4 linked regions of the Coturnix japonica genome follow. The protein of the gene in region 3 purifies or fractionates together with the protein of the main gene of each other region. This does not show direct contact. Links are inferred from orthologs where the notes say so. Each region holds a gene or a part of one and is shown on either strand. Other genes may lie near its edges.

Region 1 (4,784 bases), on a different chromosome or scaffold from region 3:
CAAGCAATGACAGTGTGCTTACAGTAGATGATACAGTAAGGTGTGGTGTGTTTGTTTTTGATGTAATGAATGCAGAGTCTCTTTCTCCCCTGTAACGAAAGTGGCTGCAGTCACAATAGGTGGCTGTTTAGTTACCAGGCTTGGTGGATCTGATTCACTTAAAGGAGGCTGGCTGTAACTCTGCAACATTGAGACCACCATGTGTGGAAAGTACATCTCCACCCCTCTGTGCTGTGCTCAGAAGGAATACTGGGTTATAGGTTAGTAGTGTTGTAGTAGCACTGGGAAAGAATTATTCTCCTGCAGTGAAAGAAAAATGTGGTTTTGTGTAACTAGTTTTTCAGGTAAGTAGTTGACCGTGGTACTGCTAAAGAAATTAATCAGGAGTTAATCATTTATTTTGGTGATTCTGCTGTAGTTCCAATAAGAGACTGGTGGATACATTGTAATACAGGGTAAAAACAACCAAACAAACAGAGTCTGCTTTGATCTTCACCCATTGGGTTCTCTTAATGATCTGAAGTGGATGACTGTGCACCCATTCTGTGCTTTGTCAGAGATGCAGCCTGGCTTTGCTGTGAGCCATAGGAATAGAATTGCAATGTGGCATTTGCTCTCCCAGCTCTGGCTTTACCCCAGGACTGAGAGCTCTGTCTGAAATGGGTCGGGCTGCGTCACAGCGTTACAGAACTGGAGCTGTGTTTTATTTCAGATGATCCAGGCTGTCTTATTTTTCTGACTTCTGGGTCTGGTGGGGGGAAGGATGGTGGTGCTCTACTGGGTGGCTTTCTGTAGTGCTTAATTTGTGGGGTTTTGGTGGTTTCTTTGTTTTGGTCTATTTATTCTTGAATGGAGGAATGTAAGTGTTCTCTTGTGCCTTCCCAGGAAGAGGAGCTGTACGCGTGCCAACGAGGCTGCAGACTGTTTTCCATTTGTCAGTTTGTGGATGATGGCATCGATTTGAATCGAACCAAACTGGAATGTGATTCTGGTAAGAAATCAAAACTCCTTTAACTTCCCCTGATGTGGAGGGAACAGCAGCAGCATCTGAAGGATGTTGTTAAATTGGTGGGATTATTTCAATTGCTTCCATGCAACTTCAGGCTCATTTATAGAAGTGAATTATTCAGATGAAGAGCAGGTATCACAATGTATGTCTGCCTTGTAGCTTGTGGTCTAGGCTAAACTCTTAACGCAGTAAACTACATTGAAATAGGGATCTAAACACTCAGGACTAATTGTCTCAGATCTGTGTTAGAGTGATAATCTCATAGTGAAGGTGAAATCTATATGTGCTGTCGCCAATTAACACAGTTTCTGCAGCTATGCAGAACTTCTATGTAATAATAGCAAGGTGGCTGCTTAACAGTTTTGTTCAGAGATTAAGTGGGATGTAACCACCCAAAGCAGGAAAACCAGCAGAGTAGCTCCCCTCTATTTCTGAAATATAATTAAAACATCAGCACTAAGAGGAGGCTTTTGTCTTCTTAGTAATTCATAAAAACAAGAGGGCTAGTAGTTAGCTCAGGGAGCTGCGGGAAGATACACAAGGAGAAAGCCTAAAATGCAAAGTTGTTAATGTGGTACAAAGCCATATTAAATGCTCTAGAAATGGGCTAGTGCTTTAGTCTGTCATACACTGTGTATAGCTGTGATACAGCTTGTCAATCTAGTTGTCGAACCACACATGAAAGAGTGCCATAAAAAGGGTGATGTAGCGATAAGGCACACGTAGAGGTAATTGAACAGTTGCTTGCATTCTGATCTAACTCTCCTTTCTGAGGCTGTTGTCTTTTGCTGGCTTATGTTCTGTAATCTGTAACCTGAGTTCTCCATGTATAAATGTGAATAACTTAGGTTTCTTGGTCTTCATGGTTTCTAGCGAGCAATTGATAGAAGATACATGTAAATGAAGAGTTGGCTTCATTTAATTTGTGTTGAAAATTAATTCATCAATACTTTCAACACAGTTAATGTACTTACTGTGTTAGCAGGAAAATGTTCCGTAGGTTTTGCTAAGGAATAACGTGCTTTCTACTATTACCCCTGACAGGTTTAGTAGATCTGTGGTCTCTCTACTTGTTTAGAATTCCAGCTTTGTTCTCTAGGATAAAGTAGTAAAAATGTTTGACATGATCTGTAGAGGAAAAAAATACAGCGGTGGTAGGAGAATCAATGAAAACTTGCAACCTTGAGTTTGCCCAGATTCATGTTTGTGATCGGTTGCTCTGACAGCATTCAGATTTAAAATATGTGATTTGTATGAGCTCCAATTCCTTAACCTTCATTAGGCCCAGCACCAAATGCTGATCTTGGAATGATTGCCATATCTTTCCCTACAAATGAGGTTGTCAATCTCTTTAACTGCTGCTTTGTTTCTGATCCAACTTATGTTGGAAATGTTTTCTTAACTAAAGTGCAGAATTTATCTTCTCATTTTGGGCACTTCTCTTGCAGCCTGTACTGAGGCATACTCCCAGTCTGATGAACAATATGCTTGCCATCTTGGATGCCAGAACCAATTGCCATTTGCTGAGTTAAGACAAGAGCAAGTAAGTACATGACATGTTTTTCAAATACCACCTACTTGTTTTCTGTTCAGCGTGTCTTCCCTTTTTTAAAATTCTTCAAATGACATCTTTTTAAGAATTGAAATACAGACATGTATTTCAGATGGGGAGATGAATGAGCATGAACATAAGTTCTGTCCTCTTCAAATGAAAACAGATTGAAAACCAGCTAATGTTTTATTTGCAGCTAATGTCCCTGATGCCAAGAATTCATCTCCTCTTTCCTCTGACACTGGTGAGATCCTTCTGGAGTGACATGATGGATTCAGCTCAGAGCTTCATAACATCCTCATGGACTTTCTACCTTCAAGCAGATGATGGCAAAATTGTCATATTCCAGGTGCCTGCCTTTTTGTTGAGGTTAAGATGTTCTGGGTGCTAAATACTTATCTGTGCTCCTTCCAGTCTCAGAAAAGACTATGGGTCACTGTCAGAAGTGTTCAGCTTTTGGTAGCATTTTGCTGCATTTAGTGCCATTTCAGGGGTAAAAAAAGAAATAAAATTATGTGAATGGAGCATGTCTTATGACTGACTTCCCTATTAATTCTGAAAATGTAGAGGATCAGATGAATGGAAGGCTGCTAACAGGATCTGTTCATCCTTGTTTTGTTTTAGTCAAGGCCAGAAGTGCAGTATGTTCCACAGCTTGATCAGGAAGCTGAAAATAGAAGAGGATCCTTGTCCCTGAGTAAAACAGCTTGTAAGTTCTTCTTTCTGGTTTGGAAGAGCAAATGCAAATGTTCCATATCATACAAGAAAAAAAAACCAAAACAATGAAAAACAATAACCAGAACCAAAGTTGCAGGTGAAATATGAAAGCACATTTTTAGAAAGCTGAAGTGCAATTCTTTGCAGTGCACATTAGCAAGGTCTGTTGGTAGTAACCAACTCTCCTGGAAATAGAAATGTTTCAAGCCAGGGCCATTGTGAAATCTTCCCTTTGTGTTCTCTGTAGACAAACTGGATAAAGTTTGTGTCTTTTATTGCTTTTCTGACAGCTGCTTCTGCTGTTCTATTTCAGCGGACCCACAGCCAGGAAGCTCGCAGACATACCGAGGACTTTTTGAAGAGCAAGGAAACGACAGCTTTTTCAAGTGTCTTTCCATGTATGTATGTCAGTACCTGGTACAGGGCATAGTGGTGTGTCCTACATGTGTGGTGGCATTTCTGTAAGGCATCAGTCTTACAAGTCCTTTCGGTTCAGATTGAAGAGCAGTTAAACTGTTGTATCCAACCTTTTGTTATGGCTGCATTCCATGCTCACCCTGTGTTATCTGTGGGCTATTCTGCCAGCTTTCATTCTCTTTCCCATTCTAGTTAACTATAATACTGATAATTTCTTACTCTTATTTTTTTCTATGTGGAACATGATGTTGATAACTTTTTACACATTTTTTAGTATATTCAGCAAACTGTACCATCAGTTCCCAGTTTTACCTTTCTTTAGCTCTGGTTGTGTTTCAGGACAAAACATTTTTCTTTCCAAATGCAAAGGGCACTGTTGTGTCTCAGGTCTAGTCTGGAAATACCCAGTATATATTAAAGCTTTGCTGAATATCAGCATTTAGGTTATTTCTTCTCTCAGTCACTGACTGTTTCATTAAAAGCTGAGGTGTGAGGGATCAGTGAACTGCACCTTAAGTGCATAACAAAAATCTGTCCGTTGCCAAGATCTTAAATGGGAGAAAGTTCAGGGCCCCAAACCAGGACCCAGCAAGTTTTTTATAATCTTTCAAATTAGATACTAAATAAGTGTTAGATGTTATATTGTATAAGCAGCTGTCAGAAGTAGGCTGTGCAGCTGGGGAGAGAGAGTGACTAGTGAAGGAGCATGAAATGCAGTCAAAATGGACACAACTTTTAAAGACCCATTATTTTGTATCCAGTATATGAAATCTAGCAACATTCTTTTCATTTCAGAAACTCCAGCTGGATTTTAACCACTACGCTTGTTCTGTCCGTGTTGGTGCTCCTCTGGATTTGTTGTGCAACTGTAGCGACAGCTGTAGAGCAGTATGTTCCATCTGAGGTAACTGTTATGTTATTCTTACCTTACAGCTTTCTACAGAATAATCAACATAACAGGGAGATCAATTATAAAGAGTTTTTTATTTTGCTGATGTGGTCAGCAGACAAATTCTTGTTTGAATGATTTTCTAGCTGAACATCTGTCCGTCCTTGTGGCTGATAGGTGCTGTGAGCCTTGCTCAGTAA
Region 2 (4,284 bases), on a different chromosome or scaffold from region 3:
TCAAACTCTGTTGAAGGAAGTGGTTCCTTTCAAATTGCTAAATAGTCTGAAAACATTGTTTAGTATTTTAAGTTGACCCATGGTCTATCTTAAATGTCTGGAGGCCGCTTCTCTGCTTATCTTTCCTGTGTTCTTACCCTTGTATTTGTTTTGAACTATAGTTCTGAACTGTTACGTCAGTATGAGTTCATATTGATGGAGATTAGTACTTCCTTGATTGCAAATGTTTGAGGGGGGGAAAAAAAAAGCTTGTACTTTGCTGTCTGCTTTGTATGCCGTTGAAAGGGAGTACGGTACAATGTATAAGGACTGGGAAAAAAACCAACTTGATTTTTTTCTAATCTTGGTCAAGCAGGCATTAAGGGTGGAGGACAGGAAAGGGTACGGTATCCACAACTCTTCTGTGGGGGATCTTTTTAACTGGTTTTGTATTGCAGTTCCTATTTGTTTGTGTAATAAAGACCAGTAAAGTCAGCTTTACTGACTTTAGTTAGTAAGTTTAGTAAGTAAGTTTAGTAAGTAAGCTAGTTAGCTTCTTTTTTTAATTCTTATTGTGTTTTGTGAAGCTCTGTGGTGGCAGTGGAGTGAATCTAGAGTGTTTCACATAAAGATCTTCAAGAAACAGTAAGGCAACTTGGGAAGCAAAGCTTGAAGAAGCCTAAGGTGGGGCAGCTGTTACAGATAGGGGAAACTGGTGTCAAAATGTTTTTCTCTATCCAAGAAAAAGCATTTTGTGAATGCATGATTTTTATTTTGTTCCTTTTGGTACAGTTGATCGCCTGGGAAGGCTTGTTGTTGCTGGAGGGGCTGCTGTTGGTTTGGGGGCGCTCTGTTACTATGGCATGGGCATGTCCAGTGAGATTGGAGCTATTGAAAGAGCAGTGTAAGTAAAATTGCTTCTCTAGGTGCTGTCTCCGAAAATACACGTAGATTATGTTTCTTAAGCTCTGGGCAGAAAGCTCTTACTTCTGTGCAGGATTTTAAGCTTCTCATCTGTAGCATGATGAAACCGTACTGCAACAGCTCTCATTCAGGTCTTTTTGCATTACTCGTGCTCTCCAAATGACAGGCGTGTCTTGTTACAGCAGATAAACACAGACAGAGTGACTCAGCATTTTGCGAGCAGCACACTGGGCTTCCTACTGCTGAGGGCACCTTCTGTACCATTTTTCCTTTACCCAGTGTATTGTGCATATGCTGTTTTATAGTTTTCCGTAATTAATGTGCATTTATTTCTCTTTCCCATTTGTACTTTTTGTAACGTGTGCTTACTTCACAGAATTGAACCATAGTAGCATTCTTTATAGTTTTTGCTGTAATTGTTATGTAATGGCTCTGTATAGTGGTAAGGATTTAAAAGTTCAGCCCCTTTGTTATAAGAGCGATGCATGAGAGCAATGGCTAAACAACTAAATGGCTCCCATTGTATCCTTAGCTTTTATATCTTTATAGTTGGTCTTCGTTATGGTGTTGTTAATTGCACAGTTACGTCCAAATGCTTATTTTTCAGTATTTGGCCCCAGTATGTGAAAGACAGAATTCAGTCTACCTACATGTACTTTGCGGGAAGCATTGGCTTGACAGCGCTGTCGGCTGTAGCAGTAAGCAGGTCTCCTGCGCTCATGGGTCTTATGACAAAAGGTTCCTGGCTGGTAAGCTTCTATTTGTTTTAGAGCATCTCTAAAATGATTGTAAATGTTAACAGTTGTTATAAAAAGTACACGACATAAAGTGTGCTGTGAAAAGTAAAGCAAATTATCACTTAAGGACAACTGCAGTAGCATAAGTGCCCTAGTAATAGCTTGCTGTGAATAGCTGCTTGAAGCTAGTGATGTTATTTCTGTCACTTTGTAAACGTCGTAGCAGAGGTTTCTATGCATTTGTTCTCCTTTGCTTGCTGCTCTTTATAACTCTTTGAAAACTCCTTTTTGCTGAGACCAAAGTGATATTGGCAGACCGATATCACCTCATTCAGATGAGATACTAACAGAACATGTCTGCTTCCTGCACGTTCGGTGTGCTGAGTGCGGTGGAATAGTAACGGTTAAATATAGCACAATGTGCAGTGGTTATTCCTTTGTGATAAGAGCAAGTTACCTTCTAGTAGGCTGGAAAAGATCATGTGGGAGAACAGAGACCTTTTGTCCTTACGCCATCTTGAGTTCTGTAATGCTGTTCTTACAGGCTATCGGTGCAACTTTTGCCACCATGATTGGTGCCGGAATGTTGGTCAGGTCCATATCATATGAAAACAGTCCAGCAGCTAAACATCTGGCTTGGATGATGCATTCGGGTACGTGATTATAGTTTTCATTAAGTTGTCTCCTGCTGTAGGACTAAATTCTTACTTGTACTACAATATCAAAGCTTTGTTCATTTTTATGCACTGCTGTTGATCTCGGCACTATGCTCAGTGTTTTTCAGCTGTACTTGATAAGTGTATGAAAACTGATGAAAAAGGTACAGTTTTGGTATTAAACTGCAACTTCTCGATTGTATGTTCTCAACTGAATTGCAGGGTAGAGTACAGATACGTTTCTTATGGATGTTACATACTTGAGTTAACAATGGCTGTCTGTCTTGAGAACTTCGGCCAGAAGCGTGGTTTGGAAAAGAAAAACTCATCAGGAGCTGGAATTACACTTTTCTCTGTAGAGCTCAAGTTTCTACCAAAAAGAAATTAGATTTAACATAGTGATTTGTCATTAGTAGGTAGGGGCTTCATACAGTATTCTAGCAAAAAGCATCACTGATTTCTAGCAAAAAAAAATCTATCTGTTCTGAGTGTTCCAGAAGCTGTGAAGGGGTCGATTAGTTCTTTGTAAGATGAGCTCCCTTAAGTTTTCTCTTAAGCTACAGAAAAAGTAGGTCACCAAACATAAAATCATGCGCCTGTTTAGAAGGTAGCATGATAAATTGAAAACCAAGTGCATTGGTATGCTTTAATGTAAGTGGATTCAAGCCATATTATCTGACTCAAAAATATATGGTTTTGGTAGGTTGTCTTTTTTTTTACACAGACTGTTCCAGACGTTTTGTTTTGTTTCTCTGCTACTTTGGCTAGGTGTCATGGGTGCGGTGGTGGCTCCTCTGGCTTTCTTGGGTGGTCCCTTGCTGATCAGAGCTGCCTGGTATACGGCTGGAATCGTCGGAGGGCTTTCGACTGTGGCCGTGTGCGCTCCGAGTGAAAAATTCCTGAACATGGGAGGACCGCTTGGAATAGGCTTTGGCTTCGTTCTTGCCTCTTCGATTGGTAAAGTACCAATTCATTACTGTTAAATAGAGCGGGCTATAAACTGAAGCTACTAGAATGTGCAGCTGACTTCTCTTTGCAAACTGACCAGTTCAAGTTGGCCTGAAATAACCATTGTCAGACTTGGCAGTAGGTTTATGAATGTTATTGTGTATTCTTTTCCAGGATCCATGTTCTTGCCGCCTACTTCTGCTTTTGGGGCTGGCTTGTATTCCGTAGCTGTTTATGGAGGATTGGTACTCTTCGGCTTGTTCCTGCTCTATGACACGCAGCATGTTATCAAACGCGCAGAGACTATTCCTTATTACGGAGTAATCAAATATGACCCCATCAATGCGTAAGTATTTTGATCCGAATGTACGTGTGACCGTTATGAGCTACTGTATGACTATGCTTTACTCCTGAAGAGCTGTGCTTTTTGTTTACCTTTGGGAAGCATCTTTATATTAAATGGGAACTATCATAGGGTTTAGTAATGTAATGTGAAAATAACCAGCGCAGTTGAAACTGAAAGCATCTGTCTGCAAGGAGGGAAACGGTTTTGAATATGTGGTGTTACGTGCCTTCAGTGATGCTAACTTCGTTAAAGAGAAAAGTTTGTGAAATATTACTAGGAGGATTTGTAGCAGGTATCTGCAAATAACTATCAGTATCGGCCGAGATCAAGCACTCTAAGTGTTCTGTGGTTATGTAGTACTTATTAGTTTCAATCGCTTAAAAAACCCAATAGCTTAAACAAGGCGTTACAGAAAGAATTCCATGAGAGAGCAGTATGATGTCTGCTAAGGGCTTTTGCCGATGGATGCTGCTGGCAAAGATGGTAGAGTGAAATCGTAAGGGGGTGTTTTCACTCATCAAGGGCAGAAGACGTGCCATCGCTATGACAGGCCTTCAATGGAGGCTTTTAAAAAGTCAAGTATAATGGCATGAAGTACCAGTTAATGCTCTTCATGTTCAACAGGGTTAACTGTCCTTTTTTGTCTCCTAGGTGCATGGGCATTTACACAGACACGCTGAACATCTTCATTCGT
Region 3 (6,171 bases):
CAGATATACAACCAGTACCTGTGACCCCAGTTACATCCATTCACCCGACAGTGCTGCTACAAGATTAAATTTGGGATCTCTGCTCTCAGGCTGTCCACAGACAGGGACTCAAGTCACTCAGCTCACATGACAGAATATCATAGTTATTGAAGATGCTTAGGTCCCACTATTTGCACTGATGATTTGAGGCTGTTCCCAGGAATGCGTCCCGGGAGGGTAAAGCAGAGTGTGTATCAGCTTACGGCTGATGTCAGCTGCTCTCCAGCAACTGCTCTGCATAGAAGCTAGCAAGCTGTAAGATGTTCCTCAAGAGAAATCACATCACCCTGCATTTGTCATTGCATGGACAGCTACCACAGCCTGACTTGTACATGGCAGCCTGGCAGCAGGGTGTTACCTGCAAGCAGGAACTCCAAAGCACTACCATGCTACTTTTAAATGGGTGACCCCATCTCACGCATGAGGAGGTGTTACCATGCTGTTCACTTACTTCATAACAAGGCGACAGATGATCAGGATAGCAAGGATCCCCGAGTAAACCAGGAATGCAAAGAGGATAGCTACATGGAAGAGAAGAACACAACTCCGTATCTTACACAGCAAAACTGCTCATTGGCAGGAGTCTGGTCAAGCGTGATACAAACACGACAACCAGCTCATCCCACCATCCATCACCCCACTTTCTCCACAGAATATGTATCCCCAGCCTGAGTCCCACAGAGAGAAAGAACAAAAGTGAAGCAGGCTAGCAATCAGTAACTGCACATCTTGGCATAAAAAGGCAAAATAAATGCACACTGAAGCAATAGTGAAGAAAGCGTTGATGTGCTGTATGTTCTGATGAAAAACCTAGAGACTCAGAGATAGCCTCAATGAGTACAGGGAGAGAGTAACAGCATTTGAAAGAGTGAAGGATTTTTCTGTATAGCTGGAGAACTGGAAGGACTGAAGAAAAGCCTAATGCAAAGGAGTGGAATGGAAGAGATGAGAGCTTAAAGAAGACCTGAGAAAGGAGATGAACAAAAAAAGGAAGGCAGCGGGCTTAAAATTAAAAGCACAAAGACTACAAAACAGAAATCCAAATACTAAGATTTGTTTCCTGTTTTATAAGAGAAGCAAGACAGAGGGAAGAACAAGAGTCCTGTGTGTGTTCAGAAACATGGAGGGAAAGAAGAACCAAGAATGATAAAATCTCCCTCTGGATAAAATGCCCACTGATTTTTGTGAGGCCAATTTCTGCTCCAAAAATGTTGTGGTCACAGGGCATCTCAAGTGAAGAGACCTGATTTTGGCCAGGGCCTCCAGGCAGGGATGTAAAACGTAAGGAGGCAAAATACTGAGAGAGAAGACGTGCAGACCCACTGCATGCTTCAATACAACCCAGGTAGCTACAGAGGCATTTCAGGTAGCTGGCTTTATTGAGACATGCATGTTGCAGAATGAAAGAGGAAAGCTGAGCATTACATACGGAGGTAGCTGTTGATGGGGCCTTTATTGACGACTATGTCACAAGAAATGGTTTTGGCACTTGTGTTTAGGGTCTTTACCACTAGGCAGTAATTGCCAAACTCTCCAAAATGATACTGAATCCTGCAAAGAAAAGGGAGACAGAACTTGCTGTTCCATGTAGATAACAAGGCATCACTCACAGAGCTGCAGGGTGAGCATCACCCTCCCAAAGCTCACATCACCCATCTCCTCGCACCACTGCATGTGAGACTGGGCCCTGTCATAGGCTGCCCCTGCTCCCAGACCCACTCAGTGTAACCCAGAGCCTGGCGAACCCTAGGTCTCAGTGGTCAGGAAAGAGGTGAAGGTGGAGACAAAGATACAACATCATTCGCAGCGCGGGGGAAACAAAAACCCAGCAGCACACGGGAGAGCCGGGGCGGCGGCACTTACTTGCAGAGCTCGCTGCCGGCCTGGGAGCCGTTGAGCAGCAGGCTGAGCGGATGCTGGGTGTCCACCACCGCCACCGCGCTCGGGCCGCCGTCGCTCGGCGGGACGTCGGCCAGCAGCTGGTAGGAGCACTGCGGAGGAAGCGGAGGGTGAGGCGAACCGAGCCGCAGGCCGCGGGCCGGTCTCCGCCCGGCTCGGCGCGCTCACCCGGTGGCAGGCTGCGGAGCGGGCGAGCAAGCGGAGGCCCTGCACGGGCGGCTCGTTGCGGACCATTAGAAGGGCCTGGTCCATCTTGAGCGGCGGCGGCGGCCCGGCAGTGGGCCCCTCTCCGCCCGGCTGCGTGCGGCCCTGCGCCAGCAGCAACGCGCCCAGCGCCACCGCCACGGCCGCCGCCACAGCGGCCGCCATCGTTCCGCCGCGCTCCGCCCCGGGGCGGCGCCGCTCCAGAAGCGCGCCCGGCGCCGCGGCCCGGTCCCGGCGGTCAGGGGCGTCGGGCCGAGTGTTGCTCGGAGCCTGGCCTGCCGTCCGCACGGAGCGCGGGCCGCGCGGTTGGGCAGCACGGGGAGGCGGTTGTGCGGGCTGCCATGAAACGGCCCCTTAGAACCCTGCGCTGCGGAGGGAGCTGTCAGCCCCGTGTCTTCCATAGCGGAGATGGAAAAGAAAGCGCATTTCGTGAACAGAGACTTTCCTCCCAGGGAGGCGCCTTCGCTGCTGCCGGTGCTGCTGCTGGTGGCGGTGCTGCTGAACGCCCTGCTCTACCTGTACCTCGGCAACACGCACGGCTCTTCGGGCCGCGCCGACGCCGAGCCCAGCCTTTGCCCTTACGGGTCTTTCAGACTAGGGCCGGTGAAAAACTGCTCCCCATGGCTCTCCTGTGAAGCCATCAATAGGGAAGTCAGAAAACTCAAATGTGTTGGCGAAGGAGCTGTGAAAAAGGTGAGTCTGGTTATCCTTTCTTCTCACCAGTGATTCAGCTCCCAAGGGCTTTCGTTTTTAGCTGCCCACGCTGCTTTTATAGCTGCCCTTAGAGCAGCTGAAAGTCTTAGGCTACAAGTGAGGTAGGAGGCAGGAGAAATACGGCCATGTTTGTACCTGTCTCACCAAACACCAGCTACACACACAGCACCACGGGGATGGGCGAAGTGCTTCGCATGGTGCAACTGTGGCAGAGCAAGTCCGGCTGGGTGGTATGAAGCCGTTCCAATGAAAGCTCTGGAAATCACGAGCCATCCTATCGCTGTGATTACAAAATCAGGAAGGGTTTGCTGCAACATGTATGTGCAGCAGGTACGGCAAAGCCCAGAGGCTTCGCTGCTGACATAACACTGTACAGTCATGCACCAGCATGAGACTGACCGCACTGGGTGACTGTAGTTTGTGGCTGTGAATAAGCATTCGCTTGGATGCCACATGGTAACAGTCAGCGGAGGAAGGTTCTCCACATGTCTTACGCATCTCTTCTGTGTCCTCAGGTCTTTCTTTCTGAGTGGAAGGAAAACAAAGTGGTCATTTCACAGCTCACCAACCCAGAGCTGAAGGAAGACTTTCTCCACGGACTGAAGATGCTGAAAGCACTACAGAGCAAGCACGTTGTCCGACTGCTCGGCTACTGCGAGCAGCAGTTCACAATCCTCACTGAGTACCATCCTCTAGGTTCCTTGAGGGGTCTGAATGAAACTCTGCACCTCCCCAAGTACAAGAGCATGAACACTTGGCATCGAAGGCTGCTGCTCGCTATAGACTACGTGAGCATCATTCGCTACCTGCACAACAGCCCTCTGGGCACCTTAGTGATGTGCGATTCCAACGACCTGGACAAGGTGCTCTCTCAGTATCTTCTAACGAGTGACTTTCACATCCTGGTGAATGATTTGGACGCTTTGCCCCTGGTGAACAGGAGCGCCGGCAGGCTGGTCAAGTGTGGGCATCGGGAGCTCTGGGGTGAGTTTGTAGCTCCTGAGCAGCGTTGGCCCTATGGAGAGGACGTGCCGTTTGATGATGACCTCATGCCCCCATACGATGAAAAAACAGACATCTGGAAAATCCCGGATGTCTCCAATTTTTTCTTGGGCCACGTTGAAGGCAGTGACATTGTGCGACTGCACTTGTTTGATATCCATGCGGCATGTAAGAGGAAGGACCCAGCCCAAAGGCCATCTGCCCAGGAGATCTTAGACACCTACAAGAAAGTTCTAACTCTGTTGGTTCGGGAGGCAGCCATGCCTAGTACTAGGGAAATGTTGTAACAAATCATGGGACCAACAGTGGGCTGAAGTTGGTGTTCTTATTTATTTAGCTTGCCTGAAGGGCAAAGTGTCTGTTCCCTCAATTGAGAAGACAAAAGTAACTGACTTTGTACTTTACCTTTCGATTAAAAATTATCTACCCAATGCTGAAGCTGTGCATCTTTCCCATTGCTGTGTTTAATCTGTCAGTGCAAGAGGAGGAGGGAGAGAAATTATGTTTTGAGGACTGGGGAAATCTCTCGAGGACCAGAATTTTTCTTTTGCAGCATTTATATAAAATTCCCTTTTCAAACACAAAACATTTTTGTACAGACAGAGTTAAAAAAAAAAAAGAAAAATACTGTCCTACTTAAACGAATTGGCAGAGGTCTGGGGAACAGAGGCTACAACATGCCCCTCTCAAGCTCTGTGCTGATTCTGGTGGCTTTGGCCCATGTCTTATGCACAAAGTCCTCACCTGCTTCCCTATGGAGTAAAAGCAGCGGTCGTTCAAAAATGACTATAGTTCTCTGAAGGTTTTGGTGAGCCCCGCTGCCACCTTCCCAGCCACTCTGCCCAGCCTCCCTGCTGAATGGGGTATTGGGGGATTCCATGGGCTGCTTTCAGAGCCATGCGACCACTGCTTTGTGGTCCCCATATCCCACTAAACAGCATGTTGTTATTTTGAAGGCAAGCAAATGATACAGAGACAGCTTAAACGTGCATGGTTTTGGTTTTGAAACATTTGCCCCTACAGCATTCTCAGCAAGGTTCTTTGGAGATGAGGGTCCAGGAGTCCTCTTGCTCTTTTTTAATCCATAGGAAGTGTGAGCTCTTTGGAAAATAGCTAAAGTGTATCTTTTATTTGTATTCAGTTCATCTCTTTTGTACTCACTTTTGTGTTTCCTGAACATCATGCGTGGATGGAAGGAGAAAGAATAGGGAATGGGAAGAGAACGTGACTTCCTTTGACAGCAAATTGTGTGTTGGAAAATAAAAGCCTTACATTCAGAATAAACAACTCTGTCAGGCCTGAATTCAAAATGTATTCACCAGAAGAAGAAAAAAAAATAAAAAGGCTGCTTCTTTGTTCAGTGAGTTTAGGAGAAAGCTCCTGATACCAACACGATGTTACAGCCTGTCACAGGTACCAACCGCTGGAGAAAGAGTAGAGCGATACCTTAATTCTGAGCAGGCCCTGCTTGATGAGATTGGGATTTAGTTGTGCTCTTGGTGAATAAAAAAAAACACAAACAGGAATACTACAAATGAGATGTGGACTTTAGCTTTAGTAGAGGACTTTCTATGCTATGGAGTAGGTCTTTGGAAGGCCTAATGGCCTGAGACAGCTTGCTTCTTGCCTTGAGAGGTGAGTTGCAGGCAGAGAAGTACACTGTCCTTTCTGCTGAGGAGTTTGTTTCTGTTGCCACAGTGATAGTCTACTTCATCTAAACAATCCGTGTTATAACTGAACTGAAAGCAGGTTTTTTACTTATGTTCAACTCTGGCCCTGGAACAGGCTGCCCAGGGAGGTTGTGGATGCCCCGTCCTTGGAGGTGTTCGAGACCAGTTGGACGGGGCCCTGGGCAACCTGATCTAGTAAAGGTGTATGTTTGGTGGCCCTGCCAGGCAGGGGGGTTGATCCTTGAGGTCCCTTCCAACCTGGATCATTCTGTGATTCTGTGATTCTGTGTTCTTTTGCTGTAAAACTTTATCATAAATGAGAAGACTGTCCTTCACATGACAAAATTCCCCTCTGATTTCTTATAATGCCAGCAGGAGTTCTTTCAAAGCTGGTCATTATGGTTTTCCTTTCCCAGTGTGCAGTCTATTTTCTTAATTTAGCTGATTTTGCCATTTTCCAGCTGTGCAGTTGTAGCCAGCAGAGCTCTTCCTGGTAGCTTTCTTATTCACATCGTCAGAAATCAAAGCTCCAAAACAGAGCAATGACTTTGGATACTTCATGTGTGTTTTGGACTTCAATTCAAAGCACCTTCAAGAAAGGTGTGGAGGAAAAAAATGCTGGCCATGCTGTAATTGTGTAAAT
Region 4 (5,434 bases), on a different chromosome or scaffold from region 3:
GGCACAATCCAGAGCTTTAACCATTGCTTCTTCAACAGATGTTCCTGGCTCTTGTTTTTTTCCTCCTGTTCTGTCCCTGTGGCATGGCCCTACTCAGAGCTTGCTGTCTATGCAGGAGAATTTCAGCTTCTGTTGATTCTGATGTTTCCTTGACAGCTTTTGTTCTTTGGCTTTGTATTGTGGCTCCCACATTCGCAGTAAAGATCCGTGTGCCTCTGTGCAGCCTGGAACTCTTCTCCATTCTGACTGTACTCTGTTCATTTAAAAAACAAAACAAAAACAACCCAAACAAAGCAGGCATTGCTTATATGTAGGAGCACTAAAAGTTTGTGTCAGCTGTTCATGCTGTGCGCTGATTCCTTTTGGCTTGGTGCTGTTTTGGTGCAGTTGCCTGAGCTGTGAAGGGGAGGGCTGTGGGCATGGATTGAGACCATAATCCTCGAGGCCATCGCTATTGTTATGGAACAGGCTGTGACTGCATGTTGCTGTAGTGACAAACTGGACGTGACCTCAACACAAGTCTCTAAAATGCAGTTTAGTTGGAGTAATAAAACATCCCCTCTGTCATTAGAAGCAAGTTAAAGAATAATCTTAGAATGGTACATCTGGCATGCAGTGGAGTTGTGGTATATGGATAGTGCTGATAAGCTGCTGAGACTGTAAATGCTTTTAGTTGCCTGAACATGCTTTAGAAAGTAGATTTGTTTTCTAGCTCAAACTTACGCCCCTCCAGGCCTTATTCACTCTCCTTGAGTTATGTTTGTAAATCTGTGGGACTGCAGCCTGGGGCAGGAATGTGTAGGAAGGGGAGAATGTTTAGTTTGATAATCTGGTTCTAGAAGGAATCAGCCTCAGCTACAACTCTGGAAAGAAAATATTTGGAATGTAATTGAAAGGAGCAAATCTCCTTGCTGTGAGCATCGCATGTCTGTCTGTAGCGCTGATAAAATGATGAGCAGCCTGGTAGGAGTTTTGCTTTCTACATCCACCTAAAGGTTCAGTGATTGAGTCATTCTTTTTATGTCATTTTACTTACAGAGATCTTTTGAACTTGAGTTTCTCAAGGTCTGCTATGTTTTAGTTAGGATGACATGCTGGGCATCCCGTAAATTAATTGGTGTGACGTTTTAGTTCTATAAGATTTCTGTATTAGATTTTTTTTCTTTGATCATCCTGTTGAATTAGAGATGAAATTGACGGCCTGTTGAACAGTGGGATTTCTTCTGGGTCTGCTTCAGTATCCAGCTGCTCATAGATGCCTGCTGAACAGCATCAGTGACTGCTGGCAATCTGTCTAGAAGGAGGTGTGGGGAAGGGGACTGATGGATGAAGGTACTGATGTCCTGTGTATGAGAACAAGAAAATGACTGAACTGAGGTAGAAGATGGGTTGCTTTGTAGATGCTTGAAGGAGGTAGCTGGTATTTATGAACTGAATAGGAATACCAGTGTCAGCCTGTTGCCTTCAAAGTTTCTCACAAACAAGAAGTGGATTTTCCCATTCGGTTTTTCTAGATACGTAAGTTGTGTTGAAGACATGTCTGCTCTTTTCATGGGCTATGGCAGTGGAGGGACAATACTGGCACTCCAGCACAAACTGCAGAGCTTGTCTGTGTGCTGCTTCAGTGCATTAACATCTGTTTTGTATTAAATACACCTTTCAGTTGTATACCTTTCCCATTTTCTCACCTGTCTTAACCAGCCAGAAGCAATAAATAGTAGAGCAGAGAAAGCTACGTTTGTACCTCTTTCAGTGATGTGACTTGACACCTCACCCACTGCCAGAGAAGCTCATTCTCTCAACTGAGAAGTAGTGTATTGCTAGTGTGTGTGCTTAACTTCTTTCTTTTTCGTATTTATTCAGATAATGGAGATGAAATGGCTGCTGCTTGTGACCCTTCTAGCTCTTGGGACTCTTGCTGCCCAGGAGCATGATGTGGGTGACGATGATGGTGATGATGTCATTGATATTGAGGATGACTTGGATGATGGTGTTGAGGAAGTAGAAGACTCAAATCCTGAAAGCAGCACTCCTCCTCCAGCTCCAAAGGTTTGGCATAGTTGTTCTTTAACATTTAATTACTTCTTGTGTTTTGGCTACTGTCAGTCTGATTAGAGTTGACTTTACTTTGCTGAAACTTAATGTATAGTGATGCTGTTAGAGATCACTAGCAGGGAGTAGGGTTTGGAATTTAGCTTAGCTGCTTCCTTGCTATTCTCATCTGACCTGCATCTTCTTTCGCGAAGACTTCAGTGAATATTTGAAAACTGAGGTGTAGTTATCAGGCATTAATGTTAAAGTTTCTAGCTAGACAAAATCTTCAGTTCTTGTTGCAGAGGAGAGCACAGTGGCTCAGCATAAGCAGCAGTGTAAACATTTCTGTATTTATGCTGCCAGAATGCTCTAGGTGCTTTATGGTATGGATGTGGGATGTGAGCTGTATGTGCCTCTACTTCTTTAGAGGATGTGCCTTGAAAGGTTCATAAATGCCTCTCTTCTCCCCTAGGTTACTTACAAAGCACCAGTCCCAACTGGCGAGGTCTATTTTGTAGAGTCCTTTGATAAAGGAACTCTGGATGGGTGAGTATAACATTAGGGGGCAACTGAACAGATGAAATCAGAGTATTATGTGAAAGGGAATTCCTAGTGCCTGTTACTGAAAATCAACAGGCAACACGTGACAAGATCAACCAGTTTTTGCTTAGGTACTAGTAATAATGGGAAGAGAAGCCCATATTTTATGTATGCTTTAATCTTTCTCATCTGACTTTGTGTACTTGCTTCAGATTCTGAGGCAGTGAGTGATCCTACATAAAGCTGAGAACTTGGCAGGTTTGGGATAGAGCTCAGGATCGAGACACTTGGGGTTTAGTCACAGGACAACAAAGGCTATTTTAAGAGCAGGGGTTTTTGTGTGCATAATGAAAAAGTATGAGTTTCTTACTGTTGGATGCTTGTTTTCTAGATGGATCCTTTCCAAAGCCAAGAAAGATGATACAGATGATGAAATTGCTAAGTATGATGGTGAGTCCTACCCATATTTTGACTGGTAGTTGTTTCTGATGTCATTTTGTCTTATATAAAGAAGAGGTGCAAGTCTGTTCTTCTTGCTCCCTGAAATTGTGTTCACTGAAGAAAATGGGAGAATGTGTACATGCTTAACAATATAAAGTGTGATCCTGATTCAGATAAGATTCAAACAAAATTTCCACTTAAAGGTTTTAAAATAATTTTTAGTGAAGATGTTAAGCCCAGTAACTTGAAGGCACCCTGTATGAAGATGGTGATGACTTTCTTGTTTAGGATTGGGCTAAGACAAGATTGTATCAAATGGGTTTTGATAATACTTTGTTAATTTTCGTCTAGGTAAATGGGAAGTCCAAGACATGAAGGACAGTAAGCTTCCAGGAGACAAAGGGCTTGTGTTGGTAACACGAGCCAAACATCATGCGATTTCATCCAAGCTTTCAAAGCCTTTTGTATTTGATACCAAGCCCCTTATTATACAGTAAGTAAAAGATAACTTAGTGTTCTGTGAGGGGTGTGATGTGGTAGTAGGCTTGGGTTTATTTTGTAACTGAGCTTTTGTTGGCTGGGGGGTCTAGATGACACAAGATAGACTGTAACCTCTCATTATACAATTTGAGTAGGAGTAAAATAGCAATCTTGATTCCTCAAGTGGGAAGTTAGGAACACAGTGGCCCCCACTGCAGCCTGACAAAAAAAGTAGTCTATGAGTTGGTAATTAGTCTCTGGACTTGAATTTCTCATTCACTAGCACAGAAATCTGTTGCCTGTTCTGTTAATTGTAAAAGTCCATGTCCACTTCACCAAGAGCTTGTCTGTATGTTTCTCACTGTGTTTATTCAGTGAAGTGTCCAGTTTCAAAGGTGGAGTGAGCAGAGTGTTAAGGGTGCACTTGTTTCCGCCTTCCTTTGTTCTGGTGCATCTGTTGTGGAAGATGAACAACTTGCCTAATTCTGTTGGGCCATGAGTGATGTAGAGGAATCTGCTTGCATGCATGTTAGACTAGTAAGCAGGAAAAGAATCTTTCAGTGACAACAGTTGAATTGTGGGATATTACCTATGTTACCAGTTATAAACAGCCAGTGATCCAGTTCATATTTGTACAAGATAATGAAATGGTCACTTTACTTTGTGTTACTGTTTAGTTTTGGCTCAAAATGCGTGGCTAAAAATAAGTTGAAGTGGTCATTCACTTCAGCTGCTGGCATTGAGAGAGGTTTGAGCATGCTTAGCCTATTCCTGACCGACATGCTTTGCCTTTTTCAGACTCCTTGGCATCTCTAAATATACTATTGTATGCTTGCAACCCTAAGGGGAGATCTTCTAGGATCCAACTGCTCACTTCAGTCATCTTGCAAATTGAGTTGTCTGTCTGCTGTAATGGTTGTGTGGAAAATAATTTGTTCCCCTTAATCTCCATTGCAGTCTCTTACATACTTGAAAAACCTTTTCTTCCCTCTACTTCTGGATCATAATCTTCTAGACTAATGCTCAATTCTTTTAATCTTTTCTGTCAGGTTAAGTCTTTTAAATCCTTGCTTCTTTTCTCAGGCCCCCTTGAACATCTGCTTAGTCTCTAGAGCGCAGCATGTGTTTTTAATGTTCACTTTTGATTTGAAACAAACAAAACCAAAATAGTATTGCTCTGCAATTTTCAAGTATAAATTCATTCATGTATTATGAAGGTAAATGTTGCTTGTGTATAATGTGTTCTTCATTTCTCTGTCCAAATAAGGTATGAAGTAAATTTCCAAAATGGAATAGAGTGCGGTGGGGCCTATGTGAAACTGCTTTCAAAAACACCTGAATTGAACCTGGTGAGTGCTGCTAATACTAATACTGAGTGTTATCCATGGAACAAAGCAACACAGCTTTTTTCTTTCTAGAGAAACCACTTTGGTAAAGGCGGTGGGGCATATTTAGGGCCTGATCTTCAAACTACTTTGGGCTCATCAGTTTCCTGGTATTTTCAGTTGGAGATAAGAAATACTGAAATTTCTTGGCCACGTGACTACGTATAATGTAATTTTTAAAAGGCACCCAGAAGACTTGGCTATCTAGCCAGCTTCGTGTGTGCATTGACTCTCAAGATAGCATCAGCCAAGGCAAATAGACTGACAGTGATTATATTCAGTTAAGACTGAAATTGAGGCAGGATATACCAGCTTAAGTGTGTAAATGAAATACATCTCAGCTCCACTTCTAATGATGCTTATTCTGTATGTGAAAGAAAGTCACTGGATTTGGCTTATAGTATCTGATATTTCTATTAGTGGCTTTTTAGTCATTTTTGTAGTGTAGGGATTTGCTAAAAAAATACATAATTGTCACTGTGTAATGATTTACTTACCTTGGTAACAACACTTGTACAGCAGTTTTTTTCCCCACCTCAAAAGTAGAGACCAAA

The links. Proteins that work in one complex are often made in the same cells at the same time.
Region 1: the proteins of POMK (region 3) and TMEM59 purify together in Homo sapiens (affinity purification with mass spectrometry; 3 studies listed by BioGRID and IntAct, with this or other methods). This does not show direct contact. The link is inferred for Coturnix japonica from reciprocal best matches to the Homo sapiens genes POMK and TMEM59.
Region 2: the proteins of POMK (region 3) and GHITM purify together in Homo sapiens (affinity purification with mass spectrometry; 3 studies listed by BioGRID and IntAct, counting the BioPlex papers as one, with this or other methods). This does not show direct contact. The link is inferred for Coturnix japonica from reciprocal best matches to the Homo sapiens genes POMK and GHITM.
Region 4: the proteins of POMK (region 3) and CANX purify together in Homo sapiens (affinity purification with mass spectrometry; 3 studies listed by BioGRID and IntAct, counting the BioPlex papers as one, with this or other methods). This does not show direct contact. The link is inferred for Coturnix japonica from reciprocal best matches to the Homo sapiens genes POMK and CANX.

Annotation. Positions count from the first base shown.
Region 1 is NC_029523.1:22,443,548-22,448,331, reverse strand, and holds part of TMEM59 (transmembrane protein 59), read left to right. Parts: intron 1-885; coding exon 886-991; intron 992-2,457; coding exon 2,458-2,552; intron 2,553-2,757; coding exon 2,758-2,910; intron 2,911-3,185; coding exon 3,186-3,270; intron 3,271-3,591; coding exon 3,592-3,676; intron 3,677-4,490; coding exon 4,491-4,599; intron 4,600-4,784.
Region 2 is NC_029521.1:2,251,875-2,256,158, reverse strand, and holds part of GHITM (growth hormone-inducible transmembrane protein), read left to right. Parts: intron 1-771; coding exon 772-883; intron 884-1,510; coding exon 1,511-1,652; intron 1,653-2,184; coding exon 2,185-2,293; intron 2,294-3,064; coding exon 3,065-3,253; intron 3,254-3,418; coding exon 3,419-3,590; intron 3,591-4,241; coding exon 4,242-4,284. UniProt on the Homo sapiens protein: Plays an important role in maintenance of mitochondrial morphology and in mediating either calcium or potassium/proton antiport. Mediates proton-dependent calcium efflux from mitochondrion.
Region 3 is NC_029519.1:30,139,919-30,146,089, forward strand, and holds POMK (protein O-mannose kinase), read left to right. Parts: upstream 1-2,380; 5' UTR 2,381-2,550; coding exon 2,551-2,835; intron 2,836-3,371; coding exon 3,372-4,145; 3' UTR 4,146-5,142; downstream 5,143-6,171. Other genes in the region: HGSNAT (heparan-alpha-glucosaminide N-acetyltransferase), read right to left, coding at 491-560, 1,469-1,590, 1,903-2,030, 2,107-2,307. UniProt on the Homo sapiens protein: Protein O-mannose kinase that specifically mediates phosphorylation at the 6-position of an O-mannose of the trisaccharide (N-acetylgalactosamine (GalNAc)-beta-1,3-N-acetylglucosamine (GlcNAc)-beta-1,4-mannose) to generate phosphorylated O-mannosyl trisaccharide (N-acetylgalactosamine-beta-1,3-N-acetylglucosamine-beta-1,4-(phosphate-6-)mannose).
Region 4 is NC_029528.1:4,540,423-4,545,856, forward strand, and holds part of CANX (calnexin), read left to right. Parts: intron 1-1,863; 5' UTR 1,864-1,866; coding exon 1,867-2,049; intron 2,050-2,506; coding exon 2,507-2,580; intron 2,581-2,965; coding exon 2,966-3,024; intron 3,025-3,366; coding exon 3,367-3,508; intron 3,509-4,762; coding exon 4,763-4,844; intron 4,845-5,434. UniProt on the Homo sapiens protein: Calcium-binding protein that interacts with newly synthesized monoglucosylated glycoproteins in the endoplasmic reticulum. It may act in assisting protein assembly and/or in the retention within the ER of unassembled protein subunits.